Coturnix japonica: one gene and its partner. The protein of the gene in region 1 purifies or fractionates together with the protein of each later gene. This does not show direct contact. Links are inferred from orthologs where the notes say so. Each region holds a gene or a part of one and is shown in the gene's direction. Other genes may lie near its edges. The genes, in order: acyl-coenzyme A thioesterase THEM4-like and AKT1.

What was found.
Region 2: the proteins of acyl-coenzyme A thioesterase THEM4-like (region 1) and AKT1 purify together in Homo sapiens (co-immunoprecipitation; 4 studies listed by BioGRID and IntAct, with this or other methods). This does not show direct contact. The link is inferred for Coturnix japonica from reciprocal best matches to the Homo sapiens genes THEM4 and AKT1.

What each region holds. Positions count from the first base shown.
Region 1 is NC_029540.1:2,460,766-2,470,943, reverse strand, and holds acyl-coenzyme A thioesterase THEM4-like, read left to right. Parts: upstream 1-5,282; 5' UTR 5,283-5,406; coding exon 5,407-5,475; intron 5,476-6,765; coding exon 6,766-6,919; intron 6,920-7,437; coding exon 7,438-7,600; intron 7,601-7,664; coding exon 7,665-7,778; intron 7,779-7,881; coding exon 7,882-8,006; intron 8,007-8,165; coding exon 8,166-8,230; coding exon of another isoform or gene 8,231-8,238; 3' UTR 8,239-8,295; downstream 8,296-10,178. Other genes in the region: S100A10 (protein S100-A10), read left to right, coding at 3,070-3,201, 3,389-3,550; RORC (nuclear receptor ROR-gamma), read left to right, coding at 9,360-9,399. UniProt on the Homo sapiens protein: Has acyl-CoA thioesterase activity towards medium and long-chain (C14 to C18) fatty acyl-CoA substrates, and probably plays a role in mitochondrial fatty acid metabolism. Plays a role in the apoptotic process, possibly via its regulation of AKT1 activity.
Region 2 is NC_029520.1:46,983,069-46,994,377, reverse strand, and holds the start of AKT1 (RAC-alpha serine/threonine-protein kinase), read left to right. Parts: upstream 1-5,260; 5' UTR 5,261-5,687; intron 5,688-11,309. UniProt on the Homo sapiens protein: AKT1 is one of 3 closely related serine/threonine-protein kinases (AKT1, AKT2 and AKT3) called the AKT kinase, and which regulate many processes including metabolism, proliferation, cell survival, growth and angiogenesis.

The sequences.
Region 1 (10,178 bases):
CCCAATGAGAGCCATCGCCCCATGTGCAGCCCTGTCCCCCTGCATGGCTCTGTCCCTGCAGGTGATCCTGGCCTTACAGGTGTGATCCTGGCCCTACAGATGTGATCCTGGCCCTATAGATGTGATCCTGGCCCTAGAGGGGATCCTGTCCTTACAGGTGTGATCCTGGCCCTGCAGATGGGATCCTGGCCCTGCAGATGGGATCCTGGCCCTACAGATATGATCCTGGCCCTGCAGGTGATCCTGGCCCTAGAGGGGATCCTGGCCCTACAGATGATGTTGGCCCTATAGGTGATCCTGGTCCTACAGATATGATCCTGGCCCTAGAGGGGATCCTGGCCCTACAGGTGATGTTGGCCCTACAGATGCGATCCTGGCCCTGCAGGTGATCCTGTCCCTAGAGGGGATCCTGGCCCTACAGATGTGATCCTGGCCCTACAGGTGATCCTGGCCCTACAGGTGATGTTGGCCCTATAGGTGATTCTGGTCCTACAGATGTGATCCTGTCCCTGCAGGTGATCCTGGCCCTACAGGTGATCCTGTCCTTACAAGTGTGATCCTGGCCCTGCAGGTGATCCTGTCCCTATGGGTGATGCTGGCCCTATAGGTGATCCTGTCCCTATAGGTGATGCTGGCCCTATAGGTGATCATGGCCCCAGATGTGCTCCTGTCCTCCATGTCCCCATACACAGCCGTGACTCCAAGCGCAGCCCTGTCCCTACAAGTAATGGCCGTGTCCCCAAAAGAAACCCACGTCGGTCCCTCAGTACGTTCCTGTCCCCAAAGCTGTTTCTCACAGCTCTCAGTGCCCACAGCTCCTTGGTGGCCCTGTCCCCAAGTGCAGCCCCGTGCCCGGGGTTAGGGCCACATCCCTGAGCCAGGTCCCTAAGAACGGCCCTGATCTTAGGGATGGACGGGCCTGTACCCAAAGGCGGCCTCGTCCCCAGGCGCCCCCTCCCCAGCGGTGCTCCCCTCCCCAGGAGCCACCAGGTGGGACACGCGTTCAGGTGACACATAGTGGCCGGGGGGGGCTGATAGTGGCCGGGCAGGAAGGGGTTAAGGCTGAGCGCTGCGGGCGGGAGCGACTGAGTCAGCCCCAGGCCCCCCCCGGGTCCCCCCCCCGGGGCGGTCCCGCCCCCTCCGTGCCTATCCCGGGCGGTGCCACCGCCCCGCAGTGCCCCGGTCTGCGCCGTGCGGTGAGTACCGACCCCCCCCCTCCATAGGACCTCTCCATAGGACCCCCGCCTCATTTGGGTCCCTTGGAACCCAGCTCCTCCAGGCATTGACCCGCAATGGGGTGAGGACCCTTTATATAGAGGACCTCCCTACACCCTTAGAGAGAAGCCCTATTCATAGAGGATACCCCCGTCCCACCCCCTCCATAGCAGTAACCCTGCTCCATCATAACCTCCATCTGGAGGGGGGGGGTCCCATCCTGCACCCCCCCCTCTTAGGAGGTCCCGGCTCTTCCCCTCACCCCATATCACCCCACAAAGCTCGGGGTCCCCCTCATTCCCTCCCCCTTCACTCCATAAACTTTGAGGGCTTTCCACCCGCACATCACCCCATAAGATTTGCTTTCCCCCCCCCCTCCCATACACTATCCCATCACCCCATAAACTTTAGGATCCACCCCCACCCCCCCTTGAGATGCTGCAGCTTTATTTCTATTTATTTACTTATTTATTTGGGGGCTGTTGGAACAGGGGAGAGTTTAATGCAAAGGTTGGGACTCTGCCATTATTTTCCACTTGGGGTGGGACCCCCCCCTCCTTCCTTTTCCCCCTTTCCTCTTCCCCCTTTGCAGGTATAGAGGAGTGGTCCCCAAAACCAAACTGTGTGTCCCCCCCCTCCCCAAAGCATTAAAGCTGAGCCGGAGGGACACCCCAACGCCTCACCCCCAGGGTGGAGTCTCCATTCCTGCAATGGAGTGGGGGGGGGGGGGAGCAGCTTTGGGATGTGCCCCCCCCATCCACGATTGTAGGGAATCCAGGAGGGGCCCCACCCTGGGAGGAGGCGCCGTGACTCAGTGTGCCCAGGGCGGGGGGGTCCCGAGGGTGTCCCATAGGGAAGACCGGGGCGGGGTGTGTGTGTTGGAGGGGGGGGTTCAGAGGAGGGACACCGCAGCACATCACACCCGGCCCCGCCTCGCGGCCGTTGCCCGGAGCTGAGTCACCACGATGGGACGGAGGGCACGGAGCCCCACACACCCTATGGAGCCCCACACACCCTATGGAGCCCCACACGCCCCTATGGAGCCCCACACACCCTATGGAGCCCCACACACCCCTGTGGAGCCCCACACTCCCCTATGGAGCCCCACACTCCCCTATGGAGCCCCACACGCCCCTATGGAGCCCCACACATCCTGTGGAGCCCCACACACCCCTGTGGAGCCCCACACTCCCTATAGAGCCCCACACTCCCCTATGGAGCCCCACACACCCTATAGAGCCCCATATACCCCTATAGAGCCCTACGGAGCCCCACACACCCTATAGAGCCCCATACACCCTTATGGAGCCCCACACGCCCTATGGAGCCTCATACACCCCTATGGAGCCTCATACACCCCTATGGAGCCCCACACACCCCTATGGAGCCCCACACACCCTATAGAGCCCCACACACCCCTATGGAGCCCCACACACCCCTATGGAGCCCCACACACCCTATGGAGCCCCACATACCCTATAGAGCCCCACACACCCCTGTGGAGCCCCACACACCCTATGGAGCCCCACACACCCCTGTGGAGCCCCACACACCCTATGGAGCCCCACACACCCCACGATGCCTGACACGCCCCACAGAGACCCTCTGAAGCTCCATGGAACCCCACAAATCCCTTCTGACCCTGCTTCTCCCCATGCAGACCTGCAGACCCTCCTGATCCCTTCCAGCCCCTTTAGACTCTACTAAACCACGCAGACCCCAGTGAGACCCAACTGGACCCTTCCAACTCTGCTGATCCCACACCTTAGACCCCACTGTATCCTTCTGACCCCACAGACCCCACTGAGACCCTCACAGGACCCTGCTGACCCCACAGACCCCACAGCAGCCACCATGCCATCCCAAATGGAGCACGCCATGGAGACGCTGATGTTCACCTTCCACAAATATGCGGGTGACAAGAACTACCTGAGCAAGGAGGACCTGCGTGCCCTGATGGAGAAGGAGTTCCCCGGATTCCTGGAGGTGAGAGGTTGGACAGTGGGGTCACACTTACCCCACAGCCCTATAAGAGCTGGATACCTTGAGGCGGTGGGGAACAGAGCAGGGTCACACCTACCCCAGGGTTCTATAACCTGGAGGAGGGGAATGGGGCACAGTGGGGTCACAGCACCTACCACACTATGAGGTGCTGACCCGCTTCTGCCCCCAGAACCAGCGTGACCCCATGGCTCTGGATAAGATCATGAAGGACCTGGACCAGTGCCGGGATGGCAAAGTGGGATTCCAGAGCTTCTTCTCACTGGTGGCTGGACTGACCATCGCCTGCAACGACTACTTCGTGGTGCACATGAAGCAGAAGGGGAGGAAGTGAGAGACGGCCCCGCCGCCCCAATAAAGTGTTTTGTATGACCCTGCTGTGGCCTCTGCCTTGGGGTGGGTCATCACTGGGGGGTTCCCATCCCTGCATCCCCGTCAGCACCGGGTCCCCATCGCCATGGGAATCCCAGGCACAGATCCCCATCGCTGTGGGGTTCCCATCCCCATATCCCCATAATCAGCACTGAGTCCCATTGCTGTGGGGTTCCTATCCCCAAACCCCCTTCGCTGTGGGGTTCCTATCCCCATATCCCCCATAATCAGCCCTGAGTCCCCATGTCCATGGGGTTCTCATCCCCAAACCCCCTGTGCTGTGGGGTTCCCAACCCCATATCCCAATTAGTCAGTCCTGAGTCCCCATATCCCCATAATCAGCAACCGAGTCCCATTGCTGTGGGGTTCCCATCCCAACCCATCACTGTGGGGCTGCCCATCGCCCATCATCCCCATTAAATCAGCAACCGAAAGTCCCATCCTCTGCTGAGTCTTTCCATCCCCAACCCCCTTCACTGTGGGGTCCCATCCCCATATCCCCCATAATCAGCCCTGAGTCCCCGTGTCCATGGGGTCCTCCATCCCAAATTCCCCTTCCCGGTGGGGTTCCCAACCCCAATATCCCAATTAGTCAGGTCCTGAGTCCATATCCCCATAATCAGCCCTGAGTCCCCATGTCCATGGGTTCCATCCCAAACCCCCATCACTGTGGGGCTCCCATCCCCATACTCCCAAATCCAGCCGAGTCCCCCATCTCTGCTGATGTCCTTCATCCCCAACCCCCTTCACTGTGGGGTTTCCTGATCCCATACTCCCCATACCATCAGCCCTAAGTCCTCATGTCCCATGGGTCTCATCCCACATCCTTCAACTGTGGGGGTTCTATCCCAACTCCCATAATCAGCACCGATCCCCATATCATGGGGTTCCCATCCCCAACCCCCTTCACGTGGGGTCTCCCATCTCCATATCCCAAATCACACCAAAGCCCATCTCCTGTGGGTTCCCATCCCCAAACCCTTCACTGTGGGGTTCCCACCCATATCCCGCCCATCACAGCCTAACCTGCCATCTCCCTTCGAAGGTTCTCATCCCCAAGCCCCCTTCACTGTGGGGTTCCTGACCCTATATCCCCATAATCAGCCCTGAGTCCCATCACTGTGGGGTTCCCATCCCCATATCCCAGTCAGCCCTAAGTACCCATCTTTGTGGGGTCTTCATCCCCAAACCCCCTTCACTGTAGGGTTAACAACCCCATACCCCAATCAGCCCCGATTCCCATCTCTGTGGGGTTCTCATCCCCAAACCCCTTTCACTGTGGGGTTCCTGATCCCATATCCCAGTCAGCCCTAAGTCCCCATGTCCATGGGGTCCTCATCCCTAAACCCCCTTCACTATAGGATTCCCATCCCCATATCCCCATAACAAGCCCTGAGTCCCCATGTCCATGGGGTCTTCATCCCCAAACCCTCATCACTGTGGGGTTCCTGACCCCATATCCCAATATTCATTACTGAGTCCCCATCTCCATGGGGTCCTTAACCCCAAACCCCCATCGCTGTGTATCTCCACCGGATCCCTATGTGTCCCTATGTGTCTCTATGGGGTTCCGTGGGGAGGGGCCTTACACCGGAAGCGGCCTCAGTACCGGAGGCTCCGCCCCCATCGCGGCCCGTGGCTCCATTCGCGCTGTACCGGCCGCGGGTCGCGGGGCGGAACGGCGGTGGGTGGGGGCGGGGCGGGGGGCCCGGCGCGTCGTAGTGACGTCATCGCAGCGCGACAGAGGAGAGGGGTGACGTCGGGGCGGAGTGACGTCAGAGCCGGAGTGACGTCGTCTCGGTGACGTCATCTCGCGCCATGTGGCGAAGCTGCGCGGCGGGGGCGCGAGCGGTGGTGGCACATGGGATGGGCAGGGTGACCCCCACGGTGAGTGAGGGGCGGGGGGACGTCAGTGGGTGTGGGGACATGGGGACATTAATGGGATATGGGGACATTAATGGGACGTGGGGACACCATGGGGATATGGGGACACCATGGGGACATGGGGACATCATGGGGACATGGAGACATTAATGGGACATGGGGACATTAATGGGACATGGGGATATCAATGGGATATGGGGACATCATAGGGATATGGGGACACAATGGGGGCATGGGGACACTATAGGGACACCATAGGGACATGGGAACATCATGGGGACATGGGACATCATGGGGACACCATAGGGACATGGGGACATTGTGAGGACATGAGGACGTTGTGGGGACATGGGGACACCATAGGGATATGGGGACATCAATGGGACATGGGGGAATTGAGGGAACATGGGGACATCGTAGGGACATGGGGACATTGTGGGGACTTGGGGACATCATAGGGATATGGGGACATCATGGGGACATGGGGACATTGTGGGGACATGGGGACATCAATGGGACATGGGGACACCATGGGGGCATGGGGACACTATAGGGACACCATAGGGACATGGGGACATCATGGGGACATGGACATCATGGGGACATTGTGAGGACGTGGGGACATTGAGGGAACATGGGGACATCGTAGGGACATGGGGACAGGTGGTGGTGGCATCAGGCAGTGGTATGGGGACATCAGGTGGGGAAATGGGGCCATGGAGTGGGGGCACAGGGACATTGGATGAGGGTGTGGGGACATGGAGCAGTGACATGGGAACATGGGGTGGTGGTGTTGGGTGGTGGCACCGGGACATCATGGGGCGGGACATGGGGACAACAGGAGGTGACACGGAGACGCCAGGCAGTGACATGGGGACACAGGGCGGGGACATGGGGTTATTGCTTGGTGACATGAGGATATTGGCTGGTGACATGGGGACAAAGGTAGGTGATACAGAGACGTGGGGCAGTGACATGCAGATAGGGGGTGGGGACATGGGAATATGGGGTGGAGACATGAGGACATAGGGCACTCCGGGGTGGTGACAGGCTCAGGCACGTTACAGGTGTTGTGACATATAGGGATGACATGGCATAAATGTCCCAGCCCTGGGTGACACAAGAGGGTCACAGATGGGAGGTGGGAGGGGACGGAGATCAAACCCCGCTGGTGACAGCATCCCACAGCTGTGCCACCGAACCCCCGGTGTCCCCATTGATGTGCCTGTCCCCACACCACCCCATGTCCCACAGCCACGGCCGCCCCGTCCCCATTGCTGTGTGTCCCTGCAGGCTTCGTGCTCGGTGTCCCCACAGGACTTGGCTGTCCCCAATGCCGGATGGAGTGCGGCCATGTGTGAACAGTACCAGCGTCTGCTGCGCTGCACCACCAACGGCTCATGGCGTCGTATCCCATCCTACCGCCGCGGCCTCGACCACCTCCCAGGTGACCACCATTGTCCCTTGTCTGTGTCACCTGCACCGCGTCCTCAGCTCGTGGTGCCGCTCACACTGTGACAACAGTAATGGTGGCGACACTGTGACACTGTCATGGTGTCACCAACACAGTGTCAAATACAGCGTCACCAACACCGTGACACTGTCATGGTGTCACCAACACAGTGTCAAATACAGCGTCACCAACACCGTGACACTGTCATGGTGTCACCAACACAGTGTCAAATACAGCGTCACCAACACCGTGACACTGTCATGGTGTCACCAACACAGTGTCAAATACAGCGTCACCAACACCGTGACACTGTCATGGTGTCACCCACACTGTCACCCATGCCCTGTTACTGACACAGCATTACCCACACTTTGTCACCCCTGTATCACCAGCCCACACTCTGCCACCCCCACTGTGTCCCCCCCATTGTGTCACCCACACCATGTCCCCCCCATTGTGTCCCCCCCATTGTGTCCCCCCATTGTGTCACCCACTCCGTGTCCTGTTGGCAGAGGTGTTACAGATGACGGTGGATCCTGGTCCGGGTCCGCGGCTGTTCCTGCGCAATGTGGACGCAGAAGGTGCTGGCTTTGAGTACGCCATCTTCCTTCACGCCTCCGGCCGCCGCACACGGTGCCTGTGCCAGGTGGGCCCCTACCTGGAGGGCCACCAGGGGTAGGTGACATGTCCCCATCCCCGTCCTCACCCCCATCCCCACACACTCATTGTGTCCCCACAGCTTCGCTCATGGTGGTGCCATTGCCACCCTCGTTGACACCACAGTGGGGACGTGTGCTCTGGCAGCAGCCAAAATGTCGGCGATGACGGCCAAGCTGAGCATCAGTTACCTGGCGTGAGCGTCACCCACCCTGTCCTCACTCCCATCCCTGTCCTTGTCCCCATTCTCCCCTCACTCCTCTTTCTGCCCCCATCTCTGTCCCCTCCTTGTCCCCCAGCCCGGTGCCGCTGGGTGCCGTGGTGGTGGCCGACAGCCGCGTGGAGCAGCACGAGGGGCGCAAGATCTTCCTGTCCTGCCAAGTGTGTGACACCCAACGGGACACGCTGTACGCTGAGGCCACTGGTGAGGGGCTGTGGGGATGGGGATGGGGATGGGGACAACGAGGCCATCCCATAGAGCGGGGTGACACAGGGGCTCCCCACAGTGCAGAGGGCACCGTGACCCCATGCCGTGCTGTCACACGGTGTCACTGTGTCACTGTCACTCCTTGTTCTCTTCCAGCTCTCTTCATCCAGGTGGAGGACAACAATTCCCCCCCCTCCCCGGCCGCCTGTCCCCAGCGGTGACACTGTAATGCTGGAGGGGGCGTCCCTGTGTCACCTCCTGGGATCAGAGCCTGGCACTGCAGTGACATCGGTGTCCTCTGGTGGTTTATTGGGGTTCGGAGTGGTGTCCCCATGGTGTCTGTCCCCCGTCCCTGTTCCTATAACCATCCCTGGCCCCATAACCATCCCTGGCACCATAACCATCCCTGTTCCTATAACCTTCCCTGTCCCCATAACCATTCCTCGCCCCATAACCATCCCTGGCCCCCTAACCATTTCTGCTCCCATAACCGTCCCTGTCCCCATAACCTTCCCTGTCCCCATAACCATTCCTCGCCCCATAACCGTCCCTGGCCCCATAACCGTCCCTGTCCCCACAACCTTCCCTGGCCCCATAACCTTCCCTGGCCCCATAACCATCCCTGTACCCATAACCGTCCCTGTCCCCATAACCATCCCTGGCCCCATAACCATCCCTGATCCCCTGACCATCCCTGTCCCCATAACCGTCCCTGTCCCCATAACCATCCCTGTCCCCATAACCGTCCCTGTCCCCATAACCATCCCTGACCCCCTAACCATCCCTGTCCCCCTAACCATCCCTGTCCCCATAACCGTCCCTGTCCCCATAACCATCCCTGTCCCTACGTGCTGCAGGGCAGGAAGGGGTGCGGTGGGAGGGGTTGGGGGACGGGTTGTGGCTGAATGGGCGGAGCCATTGGGTGGGCGGGGCCGTGGAATGAGTGGGGTCGTCCCTCCGTTCCCCCCCCCCCCGCTCCCAAATCTGACCAGGTCCTGGGGATGTGGGGACTTGGGGACACAGGAATATGGGACATGGGGATACAGGTACACAGGGGCGCAGCCACAACCGCACTGCACTCAGGCAGCACTAAGTCTGTGCCCTCCCTGGGGGACCCCACGTCTGACCCTATAGCTCACCTATGGCTGTGCCTCGTGGCTGACCCCATGGTTGCCCCATTACTCACCCCATGGCCTCATGGCTGCCCTGTAACTGACCCCATGGCTGACCCCATTGCCAGCCCTGTACCTGACCCTACAGCTCACCCCACTGCCAGCCCTATAGCTGCCCCACAGGCATCGGGGTGGCCGTGGATCCCACCCCCACACACTGGAGGACTGCAGAGCCCACATGTGGGGGTCCAACCCCCCCCTCTACTGCCACCCCCCAGGTATCCCATCCTCCCCCCCATAGCACAGCTTAGTGACCCCTCATTTCCCCCCTCACCTCCCCACGTGTCACCGTGGAAAGTCGGAAATTTCCAGTGCGTGGGGCCGGGGGGGGCAGGATGCTGATGGGGGGGGGGGGCAGGATGCCGGGGGGGCCCCGCGCCCTTATAACGCCCGGCCGCGCCACCGCACCCCACACACCACAATGAGAGGTACGGGGCAGGCGTGCAAGGGGAGGGGTGTGCAAGGGGAAGGGGTGTGCGAGGGACGGGGTGTGTGTAAGGGAGCAGGGATGTGCAAAGGGAACGGGTGTGCAAGGGGAAGGGGTGTGCATAGGGAGAGGGTGTGTAAGGGGACGGGGTGTGCAAAGGGAAGGGGGTGTGCAAGTGAAAGGGGTGTGCAAGGGGAGGGTTGTGCAAGGGGAAGGGGTGTGTAAGGGGAGGGGTATGCAAGGGGAGGGGGTGTGCAAGGGGAAGAGGTGTGCATGGGGAGGGGTGTGCAAGGGAAAGGGGTGTGCATGGGAAGGGGTGTGCAAGAAGAGGTGTGCAAGGGGAGGGATGTGCAAGGGAAAGGTGTGTGCATGGGGAGGGGGTGTGCAAAGGGGAGGAGGTGTGCAAGGGGAGGGGCTGTGTAAGGGGAAGGGGTGTGCAATGGGGGGGGTGTGCAAGGGGCCTGTGAGGTGGGGGAGTGGGAGTGCAAATGGGGTGGGAGGCGTGGTGGGTGGGAGCGTGCAAGGGGTGTGTGAGTGTATGTGCAAGTGTGTGTTGGTGTAAGTGCAAGC
Region 2 (11,309 bases), on another chromosome or scaffold:
AAAAAAAGCAAAAAAAAAGTACAAACTCTGAATGGAGTTTGTACTTACTGCACCATATAGTATTATATTACCAGGGCTTTCCTTTCACAGAACAACTTCTTGCATTATAAATAGAGCCAAAACACCTCTCTTGTTGCTTCACAAACCCATTGTTTTTATGCTGGTGTCTTGCAGAAACAAGGACAAGGCAGGGCTCTGTTTTAAAGAGATGATATGAAGATATGAATTTATCCTTCTCCTCTCTCCTGGCTTTTCCTTGGTTCATTGGAGTGTGATCTCTTCCACCCATGAGGTGTGAATACAGATGAAAACATCACTAAGTGCAGTTTTACGGCTGTGGGAGCTGGGAGGTCAGCCCAGAACGATGCTGCCCTTCAAAGTTTTCAAACTATAAAATTTTGATGAGGTGATTCAAGTTGTAGCTGATTCCCATGTGCATGCAGATGCCATTAAATTGCAATGAGGAAATTAAAATCCCTTCTCTTCTAGCATTAATATACAAATAATAACAATAAAAAACCCTGCCTGTTCACTGGATAAATGGCTCAGGTACATGTTAAAGGATCTACGAAGACTCTGTTGCCCTAATACCTAAAACATTAACGGCTCTCGAAGCTCTTGATCTCAAGGAAATTGTAAAGATCATAAGAAAGATTGACTGGCTCTGCGTTGGCTCTGCCTGGAGCACAGCACAGCCAACACCAGTGCTCCAAAAGCCTCTTGCTGTGCCCACACCCAGCTGTGCTCCTGCTCCTTCTGCATTTCCACAAGGAGATCTGCAGGGGCAATCAATCACTAATACTGCACTCAAGTTAATATGCCCACATTTTGCTTAACTGCATAATTTTAAGTGAAGAGCATAATCTGTGATGGATATGTGAGAGACAGGAACGCAACAGGAACCTGACCGTTTGTACTCTGTTTTTTCTTTTGGTTTGGTGTATATAAGTTCACTATTTCAGTGTCATAAGATTATTTTCCCTTCTCAATACAGCTGGGATTGTGATGTTTCCTCACACAGGTTACTGGAATTATAGAATTCTCAAGCATTTTCCCAGAACTAAGTACTCAGGTAGTGTTACTTGACAAACAAGGGGGGAAATCAACATTTTGAAGTGGAATTCAGTCCATCAATATCAGAAACTGTGTCTTCTGATGTGTCTCTGCAGACCCAAAGAGTGACTGGTCTAGAGTAGGACTTGTGGTTATCACTGTAACAACAAAAACAGATGTGGTGGTGTACGGAACAGAAGTGATACATATGCTATTTTTATATGCTCTATATCTAACTAGTGCATTTTCTATACAAACCGATTCAGTTCCTGTTTACGTTTCCCACAGCGTGTTTGCTGTCCTATGTTATGGCTATCACTATTCTGAATGAAGAGGTCTGTACAGCTCTCACATTGGAGTTTGTCAGCACCATTCCTGACTCAGCCAGACAGGCTCACTGCAGGTCTGGGAAGTGCACCTTCTTCCTCCTGCTCCAGCTGGAGGAAGCGCATTGTGCCTCCCCAGGGCTCCTCAGCTTCAGCATGCTGGTGACCAGGAAACAGGAGCTTGCAACTGAACAGAGGTCTCCTGCCTGACCTCTTCAAGGGGTTTTAACAAGGTATTGGGAAGAGCTCCCCAAAACGCTCTTGCAAACAGCATAATTCAGACCACTGCTGTTCAAGGTGCCGGTTTAGCTGACACTCAGCCTTTTATGGACAAGACATGTTTCTAAAAAGCAAAGTCGCAACGTTTCAATATGACTATAATTATTAGTTCTTTCTAGATAGCCTGCTTTTGTTTCACAGCTGAGAAATACACCTTGGATTTGTTCAGTTTCAGAAGCACAACTCTATTACATTTGGCAGTACTAAACCCACTCTTCATTTTCATATTCATTAAGCTGTATTTTTGTCCTACACCAAACCAGAGTCATTAATTTAAAAACATTTAATATCTAGTCCAAAAACCCCAGTGGGCTGTCACATAGCCTTTCCACTTGAGTACACCCCACCTTTTAAAAAGGGAGGAACACATTTCCTGATGGCCCATAAATGTGCTGCCGCTACTTGCATCATAGAACAGAACTTGTTCTACTGGTGGTTAACTCAGTAATTCCATTTCATCTTAATACTCTATTCCTTCTTTTTACGCCTGAATGGGTATAAAACTTTTTTCTTCTCTCTCTTTTTTTTTTTTTTTTAAATCCTAAGCTGAATAATTTCAACATTTAAAAATAACGTTAACAGTTATGTCAAATTATATAATAGAATCATTGAATCATCGAATCATAGAATCATAGAACCATAGAATGGCTTGGGTTGAAAAGGACGACAGTGATCATCCAGTTTCAATCCCCCTGATGTGTGCAGGGTCGCCAACCACCAGACCAGGCTGCTCAGAGCCACATCCAACCTGGCCTTGAATGCCTGCAGGGATGGGGCATCCACAGCCTCCTTGGGCAACCTGTTCCAGTGCGTCACCACCCTCTGTGTGAAAAACTTCCTCTCAGTATCTAACCTAAACCTCCCCTGTCTCAGTTTAAGACCATTCCCTCTTGTCCTATCACTGTCCACCCTCATAAACAGCCATTCCCCCTCCTGTTTATATGCTCCTTTCAAATATTGGAAGGCCACAATGATTGTTAAAAATGGATGGGGATGATTCTTCTGATATCAACCGTTCTCTGCCATTAGCCCCTGTGTTCATTACTGTAGGGTGATACAATACCAAGGATGACCTGATGCACCTTATCCTGAAATGAGAGCAAACAGATGAAATCTATGGACGCACCCAGGGAAATCTAGGGACTTCCCTCAAAATTATGGTTTATAGACTATAATCTCCTTGATGATAACTGAGTGATAAAACACACATTGTTTGCATTTATAACAATTATTGAGTGATTTCATTGTTCCCACTGAAGAAAAGGCCTGCTTTTGTTCGTTGCTGATAGAAAGTTGCTCTTGTTGCAGACCAGGCACTTCCTACTTTACCTGGGTATTTTTATTGGCACTACTTCACCGTGTCTGAGACAAGCCTTATTCCTGTCTCTGCATCTAACTTCCCTCTCACATTTGGGGAATATCAGATCCATATCAGGATCCAAACTGTTTAGTAAGGACCTGTCTTTCATCACGGTAAATCAACAGTGTGTGAATCTAAACAATCTCTTTGTGTTGAATTGTTTTTTTCTTTTTAATTGCACTTCCTTTTTAGCAAACAACAGAGGTTTATTTTCTTCTCTTCGGGACTGAAAACAATGTTTACGTATGACCTTATTTTTAAAACTGCTGCTTCATTTGCAGGGGGAAGTCCTAATGACCTTGATCACCACGCAGCCTGGGAGCAAGGAAGGCAAGAAGCTCTCCTGCAATCAGATCTGTTACCAGAGATCCCCCCCACCTATACAGAAGAGTCTCACAGATAGTAAAGTCCAGTACTTACACATGCACTTTACTGCTAGGCATAATTGCAGGCTGAAGGCTCAAAATTAGTTCACCAGTGGATATTCTTGTACTCATAAGTTCTGTATGTGCCCTGTTAGCTCTGAGCTTTGCACGCTGACAATTTCCTTTTAAAGATATCTCTGACACCTACCTACATTTTATTCTATGCCTCATGTTCTGAACTTAATGCACAGTATGTAGAAATATGATTTTATTTTCCATTACCTGAGGGTGTGGACAGTTCTCCGCCATTTCATTCTGTTCATTTTGATATCAGTATAAATCTTTCTACTGACAGCAGATGCAGATCTGACTCTTAGGCTTTTTTTCTCTCCATCCTGAAGAAGGGCTAATTCTTTTCTCCACTTTCAAGCTCCTTTAGTGCACTGATATACACAGAATCTGATGATCCACTGGACACTCAGAAAATTAGTGACGGATATAATTCTTTGGACAGACTTTCTAGTTGATCACATTGGAAGAAGGATATAAAATGTGAATTTCAGTAAGAACATACAATCATTCCCAATGACACCGCAGGAAAAACTCTTAGTATGTCAAATAGATTTGCTGCCTGTGTAAATGCAGAGCTGCGTTCCCCAGCTTTACTGATGTAAATGCATTTTACGCACCTTTATTTTGTTAACAGTGCAAAGCTGTGGGAAGATGTGGCATTTTCTAAATTCTAACGAGCTTCCAATTACAGAAACACGATCATCAGTGATCGCATGCTTCTGAACAAATCAAAGCACTCTTACGGCCCAGTTAGATTTTATGGCACTGTCAATTAGAAAATAAACAAAATCCCTTAATGAGTAAACAGGGAAAATTTTGATACTGGAAGCACAGAGAAATCATAAATCTGTCAAAGCCATTTCCACAACATCGTTTTTCAGAGCGGAGCAGCTCTTAAAATCTGACAAAATACTGCCCTGCTGCAAGCGACAGTTCTCGTTGCTGCAGCAATCCGTAATGGTTTGGGAAGGGCTTTAAACTAAAGCAGGGGACATTTAGGTTAGACGTTAGGAATAAATTCATCTCTAAGAGGGCGGTGAGGCCCTGGCACTGCTGCCCAGAGAGCTGTGGGTGCTCCATCCCTGGAGGTGCCCAAGGCCAGGCTGGATGGGGCCCTGGGCAGCCTGAGCTGGTGGGGGGCAGCCAGCCCACAGCAGGGTGTTGGAGCTGGGTGTGCTTTGAGGTTCCCTCCAACAGGAGCCATTCTGTGACTGTATTATTTGTGTGTACTGAGAGCAGAACGGCCTAGCAAGCAGCAAGGAGGCTGAGATGCAGCACCTAGACTCATGGCCTGGGTTGCTACCCTGTCCCCAGGCAGCCCCCCTTGCTGTGGGAAAGGATACTGGAATATCCTCTAAGTGATACCGCATTATTGAATCAATCAGGATTTAGGAGGCGCAGGGAAAAACCTGCAGCGTGTTAAGTAGATTTGTACGGCTTCAGGAAAGCTTCACAAAGTTGCTCTGGCGCTGTACAGGAGCCACATGCTTTCTGAGCAGCAGAGGTGCCACGAAACCACCGTGGCCCCGTGCTTGATGCCTGCTTTTTGGAGTTCATTGCCAACACTTTGGGAACACTTCGGCAAGACCAGACACCCGCACCTCAAAGCCAGGAGAAACTATAAAGTGACCCACACCCAGGCTCTGGCAACCGGACGCCCCTTGTAGAGGCCGGCGGTGCCTCTCAAAGCCGGCAGCCCGAAGCGGGGCCCGGGGCCGGGTAGGCGGCGGGCTGAGGGGAGCAGCGAGGCGGAGCAGGGCGGCCCCACAGCGCGGCCCCACAGCGCGGCGGGGCGGGCGGGAAGCGGAGCGACGGCGGTAGGACCCGGAGGATGTGAGAGAGAGCGTGTGGGACGAGCCCGGCTCCGGCTGCGGGGAGCTCGGCCCTGCGGCTCCGGGGGTGCTGCTGAGCGAGAGGCAGCCTCCTCCTCTCGGCCAGAGGCAGGAGCGAGGCGGAGCGGCGGGGAAGGCAGAGCCGGCAGCCCGTGTGAGCCCCATGGGCCGAGCGCCTGCGAGAAGGGGAGGAGGAGCCGGCCCGCCGCCCGCCGCCCGGGGATGGTGAGGAGGCGGCGGCTGCCGTGAGCCCAGTTAGGCCTTCGCTCGGCGCCCGCCCGCCAGGCTCTCCCTTCCTCCGCTCGCTCGCTCCCCCCTTCCCTCCCCTTCCCCTGCCTCTTTCCCCTGCCGCCGCCGCCGCCGCCCTCCCATCACCTCCACCCTGGGCTCCCGGAGCCATGTAAGTGACCCGCTCCCGGGGTGGGAAGGGCCGGGGGAAGGAAGCGCCGGGGCCTGCTCCGCCGCGCATTGTGCGGGGCCGGGAGGGGCGGACAGGCGAGGCGAGGCGGCCGCTCTGCTCCTTCCCCGGGCGGCGGCCGCCGGGCGCCCGCTGACCCGCGTAGGCCGCGGCGGGGGCTTTTGCTGGCCCGGGCTGAGGCACCGAGGGGCCGCCGGGGGTGTGCGTGTATGTACGGGGTAGGGGGGGGCAGGGCTGCGGCCCGGAGCCGGGCGGGAGGGCTCGGGGCGAACAGGAAGCTGTTGGCTTCCCTGGGATGCGGGGAATGGAAGTGCTGCGGGGTGGGGGGCTCCCCCGGCCGCCCTCTGGGCCTGCTGCAACCGCGTCGTCCCCGAGCATCTCCGAGGGAAAAAGGGGCTTTGGGGCAGAGGGAGGCACGGGGCATTTCCCAAAGTGTAGCACAGAAAGTGGCCGATCGTTCCTCCATCTACTCCCCCCGCCCCCATTTTCTCCCTTTATCTTTTGTGCGGCTCCGCGCTGCGTTGAGGATCGGGGAGTGTTTACAGTCGGGGGTGTGAGTCTCCGTGTGTTGGTGGTGCTGGGCAGTGTTGCTGGGCCCCATTGCTTTGAGTTCTTGCGGCGGTGTTGTGCAGAGCTGCGAGGAGCTGCTTACAGCCAACCCCCCTCCGCCCCCCAGGTGGAATTCTGCAATCGCTGAAACGTTCCTGCAGACTTCCAGGACTTTTCCTTTGGGTTCTTTGTAGAGCTCAGAATTCTAACAGTGTGTGCTGTATTTGCTGTCTGTTTTTACTGACACAAAGGTACAGATGCAGGTTGCACCTTATTGGGATTCCCCCTGCCCCTGGGAAAGGATTTAACCATTTTTCTCTCTGCTTTATTTTTCTTCCATCCCACCCATACAAGAAGCTAATCCCTGCTTTACTCTTGTTTGCTGTACTTATGCCACCAGGAGGGATGTACATTTTGAAATACAGTTACAAAGGGGCGTTACTAAGACTTAATTCAGAAGAATATTTGTTTACAGGTAAATAAACGTAACGCAGCCTATGACTAGTAATTACTTTTTTGTAGCAGCTAATTTCCTGATGACAGCCACAGCATTTGTCTGAGTTAATAGATTTAAAGGCACCGTGGAACTACCTTTGATTTTCTTTAAACAGGAGGGTTTTCCTTGTGTACATTATAGAACTGCTTTAGGTTCTGAGCTGCAGCAGTAAATCGAATCTAAGAATTGATCCAGTGTCCACAAGTAACCTGTAGCTCCGGCGTTGCTGGCTTATAGAAACAACCTGTAAGTAATTACAAATAGGATTAAATGGGTTCATGAGTGACTTGGTTTGTTTGGGAGACGGAACAAAACTTCCGTTATAAATACTTTGAAACGGGATTTGATTAAATGCATCTTAAGTCGGTGCAGAAGTTCTGAGCAGCACAGTCATTAAATTATATGAGGGTAAACTGTAAAAGGCCTTCTTCTTGTTTTGGAACATAAAGAAGATTTTGTTTAGCCTATGTCTTTGACGGAGAGTATGAAGAGATCTCTTTTTCTGCCATTGCTTAGTTTTGAAATACGCAGTTCAGTTTGTCCTATCAAACTGCAGTTGTGGTTGAAGCTCAGACAGCTGCATGTCGTAACTCTGGCCCCTCACCTGAACCAAATCAACCTCCTGTCTATTGATTAGTGGAGACGTGAGAGCACAGGCATTCCAAATTGCAGCTTTGTAAACCTAGATTGTGCTGACGGATTGGAGGAAAAGTGGATGTGGCTTTAGAGATCTTTTCTCCACTTACTGCTTTTTCCCGCAGTTCTTAGTGTCAGAGAAGCATTATTAAACCTTGTGATAAGCTGCACGTACAGTCATGAAATACTCATTTAGACATGGTGTTGTTCTGAATGGAACATCACATGAGCTAGTAGCAAAATATTTGTGACCATGCCTAACTCATGGGCCACAATGCATTTTTGTAAAGCAAGCTAAGATGCTGGAACAACCTGGTCCTTCTGTTCTCTCTTGAAAGCTGTCTGCCCAGATTGAGTAACTAGGTCATGGTGTGAAGCCGCTGTGAGTTCACAAGGCCTTGAGTGCTTTGGAAGCGCTGCTTCTCCTGGGTAGGATTTGCATAATGCAGGAGATGTACTTCACTGGTCAGAGCCTGGTGGAGATACTGCTCCGTACGCTCTACTTAAAACGTTTGCTGGAGCCCAACTTTGTTGCTCTTGTGCCGTTTGGATACAGTTGGCTGTGAGCTTAAAGGGAGAGCGGGGATATGATGCAGAAAGAGAGCGCAGGTTGCTGGTGTGATGTGTGGGCCCCACAACACGCACCTCTGCTCCCCTGCTGTTCTTGTGACGGTGCCTTGAAACCAAGGTAGGTAGGTGGGTGCTTGGGTCCTTTTTTGAATGGTTCTGCTGTTGCATGTTAAGAGAACATGCATGGATATGTGTCATATGAGGGCATTAGGACTGCCAGTCTGGGATGGGCAAAGCAATAGTCTTAGGAGCGTGCTTTGCTGTAACCTGCTTCCTGATCTGTGCTGACTGGCACAGCCATTGTGCTGAGTGAGACAGGGATGGGACTGAGGCTGGTGGGTTTGATCATCTTCTGACAGAGCCTTACTCCTTCCCAAGGATGAAGTCATTACCATGATGCTCCTACATCCCGTAAGCTTGTTTCAGATTCAGCGTCAATGGGAGAATGAATTTCCTTCCTGCACTGCTTTAGGGTGTGAATAGAAAGGAATATGAAATTTGACCTTGAAAAGAAGGGAAATTGAGTAGGACAGATTGATCTCTTGATTTCAGGGATATTTGGGAAGAAGCGAACGTGAATCTAAGCACGAGAGCATATGAGAAAAGGAGATCTCCCAAATAGAGGCAAGATGATTCTGTTCCACCTTCTGTTTAAGCTGACTCTTTAAAGCAGGCTTCATTGTTTCATTGCGCAGGGAGGTGAGTTATCTCATTACCTATGAAAGTTAATAACCTTTGAGGAATTAATGTATGCATAAGATCAGTATTCACTGCGATACAATGCTGATGTTGTGCTATTTGTGATGTACTGCACTTCCGCTGTGTGAGGAGTATTTTGGTCTTGAAAAAGGTATTACAGAAAGCGTATTGAAAGTCCAGCAAACTGAATGCTGAGAGAAAGACAGAGTTGTTTGGCTTTTGACAGTAGTCAGTCATGTGCAGATACAGACTGAAGCAGCCAGGTCATACTTACCTCAGATGCCCTCTGCTCACTGGGAACCATTCCTAGATGGCCATAAATGAGGGCTGTAGTAATTCTTCTTCTTTTTTTTTTTTCTTCTCTCTAAAGATTTTATGCAAATGGAACTTTCTCTGGTTTACACATCTTCAGAAACACACTGACCTGTAGTTAACTTACTCCTCTAATCCAGGAAATTACCATTACTTGCTAGCCCTCCATTTGATTGCCTTTTATTTAAATCCATTTATTAAGCACAACTTGGATGTGTATTTTGAAGGACCAGATAGAGTGAGTTTGCTGCTGTTGGAGCTGTGTCTTTGGACATTCACAGCGAGAAGGCATTCCCAGCTCTAAGAACAGTTCCCCCTTACAAAAGAAATGCTTTGGCATTGCTGAGGGAACAAGGTGGAGCCGATGCTGCATTGTGGTGGAAGGAGCTGTGCAGGTAGACACATCCCTGATGGCAGTGCTGCACTAACAAGTGGGGGATGCTTCTTGTATAGGAACTGGAGGCAGAGGGCAGTCCAGGCTTTTTGGGCACGACAGAAACTGGAAAAAAGTAGTTCCTCTGAACTTTGGGTTTCGTTTCTGATTTGCTGTTTTTTGGTCTGCGTAGTCACTGGTTCAGACTGAGGTGACAGTTTAGGCTGTGAGGAGCAGGAGGCTGCCAGGAGGTGATCGTAGCAAGTGTTAACACACATAAACCTGGAGTATGTTAGTTGGGGGTTCTATGATTTTGTACCATCACACTTTTTTTTGGTATTAGTAAAAGGATGGTCCTTTCTACAGACTAGTGTGGTTCGTAGCTTTCTTTTTCCTTTTAAGTATAAATCCTGAAAAGGATTGATTGCTTTACATGTTGAAATTGTTGAACTGAAGAAACAGAGGTAGGCTACATAGACCCCACTTTCTGTTACAGCACCATCTTAGATGCATTTCACACCTTGGTGCTGTGTTTTCTTACCTAAGCTGTGATAATCTTAGGGGTTTTGCTCAACACTTTGCAAATCTCTCAATGCTTAAGTGAAGCCTTTAGCAAGGTTTGGTCTCTCGTTGATGTCAACAAGTAGATGTAGCTGGCGCGACTGTTGTGCATGCATTGTTGAAAGGAGAGTGGAAGCCTGCTGTGTTCATCAAGTTGTGTCTTAATTGCTCTGGATCTGAAGGAGTTTGTTCGAAGACAACTGGTGGCTGTGGGTTGCTGGTCTCTATTCTACAGCATATGGTTCTCACATATTTATTTATGAAATTAAGAATTCTTACAAGTCTCTTGTTCCAATGTCATTTTTTTTGTGTGTGTTTTCCCTCCCTCGGGCAAACGTCGTATCTGTTTCTTTGAGATGATAATTATAAGCAGTCAGAAATGGCAGATTCATAATTTGGAAAAATATCTGCCATTTTTAGGGGAAAAAAAAGAAAAAAAAAAACAAAACACACAAAAACATAAAATGTTACTGGAAATAGCGATAAATAGTTAAAGTTCATAGGCAGAAATACTAGGATTGACTTCATTCTCTCGCATCTCCTACCAGTCAATTTCTGCTTCTAGTGACCATTCAAGTTTGACTTTCTTGCTTTGAAAATAGTTTTAGAGCGTTGGCAACAAATGGTGCAGGCCCCTCTGTCCTTGCTAATGTCTCAGTTCTGGATTGGATTCATTTTGACCACCTGCTTCTTCTATTCGGGGTTGTGTCTTAGTGAGTTATGTGAAATTACTTGCTTTTTAATCTGGTTTCTGATGAGTATCACCTGCGTGCTCACAAATAATTGATGTACACACGCCAAATGCATGCAGAGATGATATATATTTGTTGGTGGGAATGTGATGTCTCAGTGTTTGGAGTGAGACCAGTAAAAGCCAGGTCTTTGCTGGCGTGTTACAAGGGTTGTTACTTAGTTATTGCTTAGAATGTGCCACTAGTTAGATTTTTTTTTATTGCCTAAGCTGTACCAAATTGGATGAACAAATGGACCCTCTGAGAGCTCAGGAGTCATTAAAGAAAAGCAGAACTATATCACAAGCAGAAAAAAGAATAATATTCAATTTAGGAAAAGAATAAAAGCTGATGTGTCTGGGAAGAGCTACTTTCAATGAGGGAGAGAAAGATGAAGATCATTTGTGTGATAGTCAGCCGTGAGATGGCCAAAACTTATTGAAAATGTGTCTGTTTTGAGTTATTTAGGTAGGGAGTTCATCTCATAAAGCAAAATGGTTTAAATCCTAAGGTGTCCCTAGCTTATTTCAATGCAAGGAGCAGCAGCCATGTGCAGTGAGTTAAATAGGATAGAATTGATCAGGGTGCTTCTGAGGGCTGATTTAGGATAACATGAGCTTATCTGGGTATCTTTGTAAAGAAGCAAGAATTATATCGAAGACAGAGAAGGTGATTTG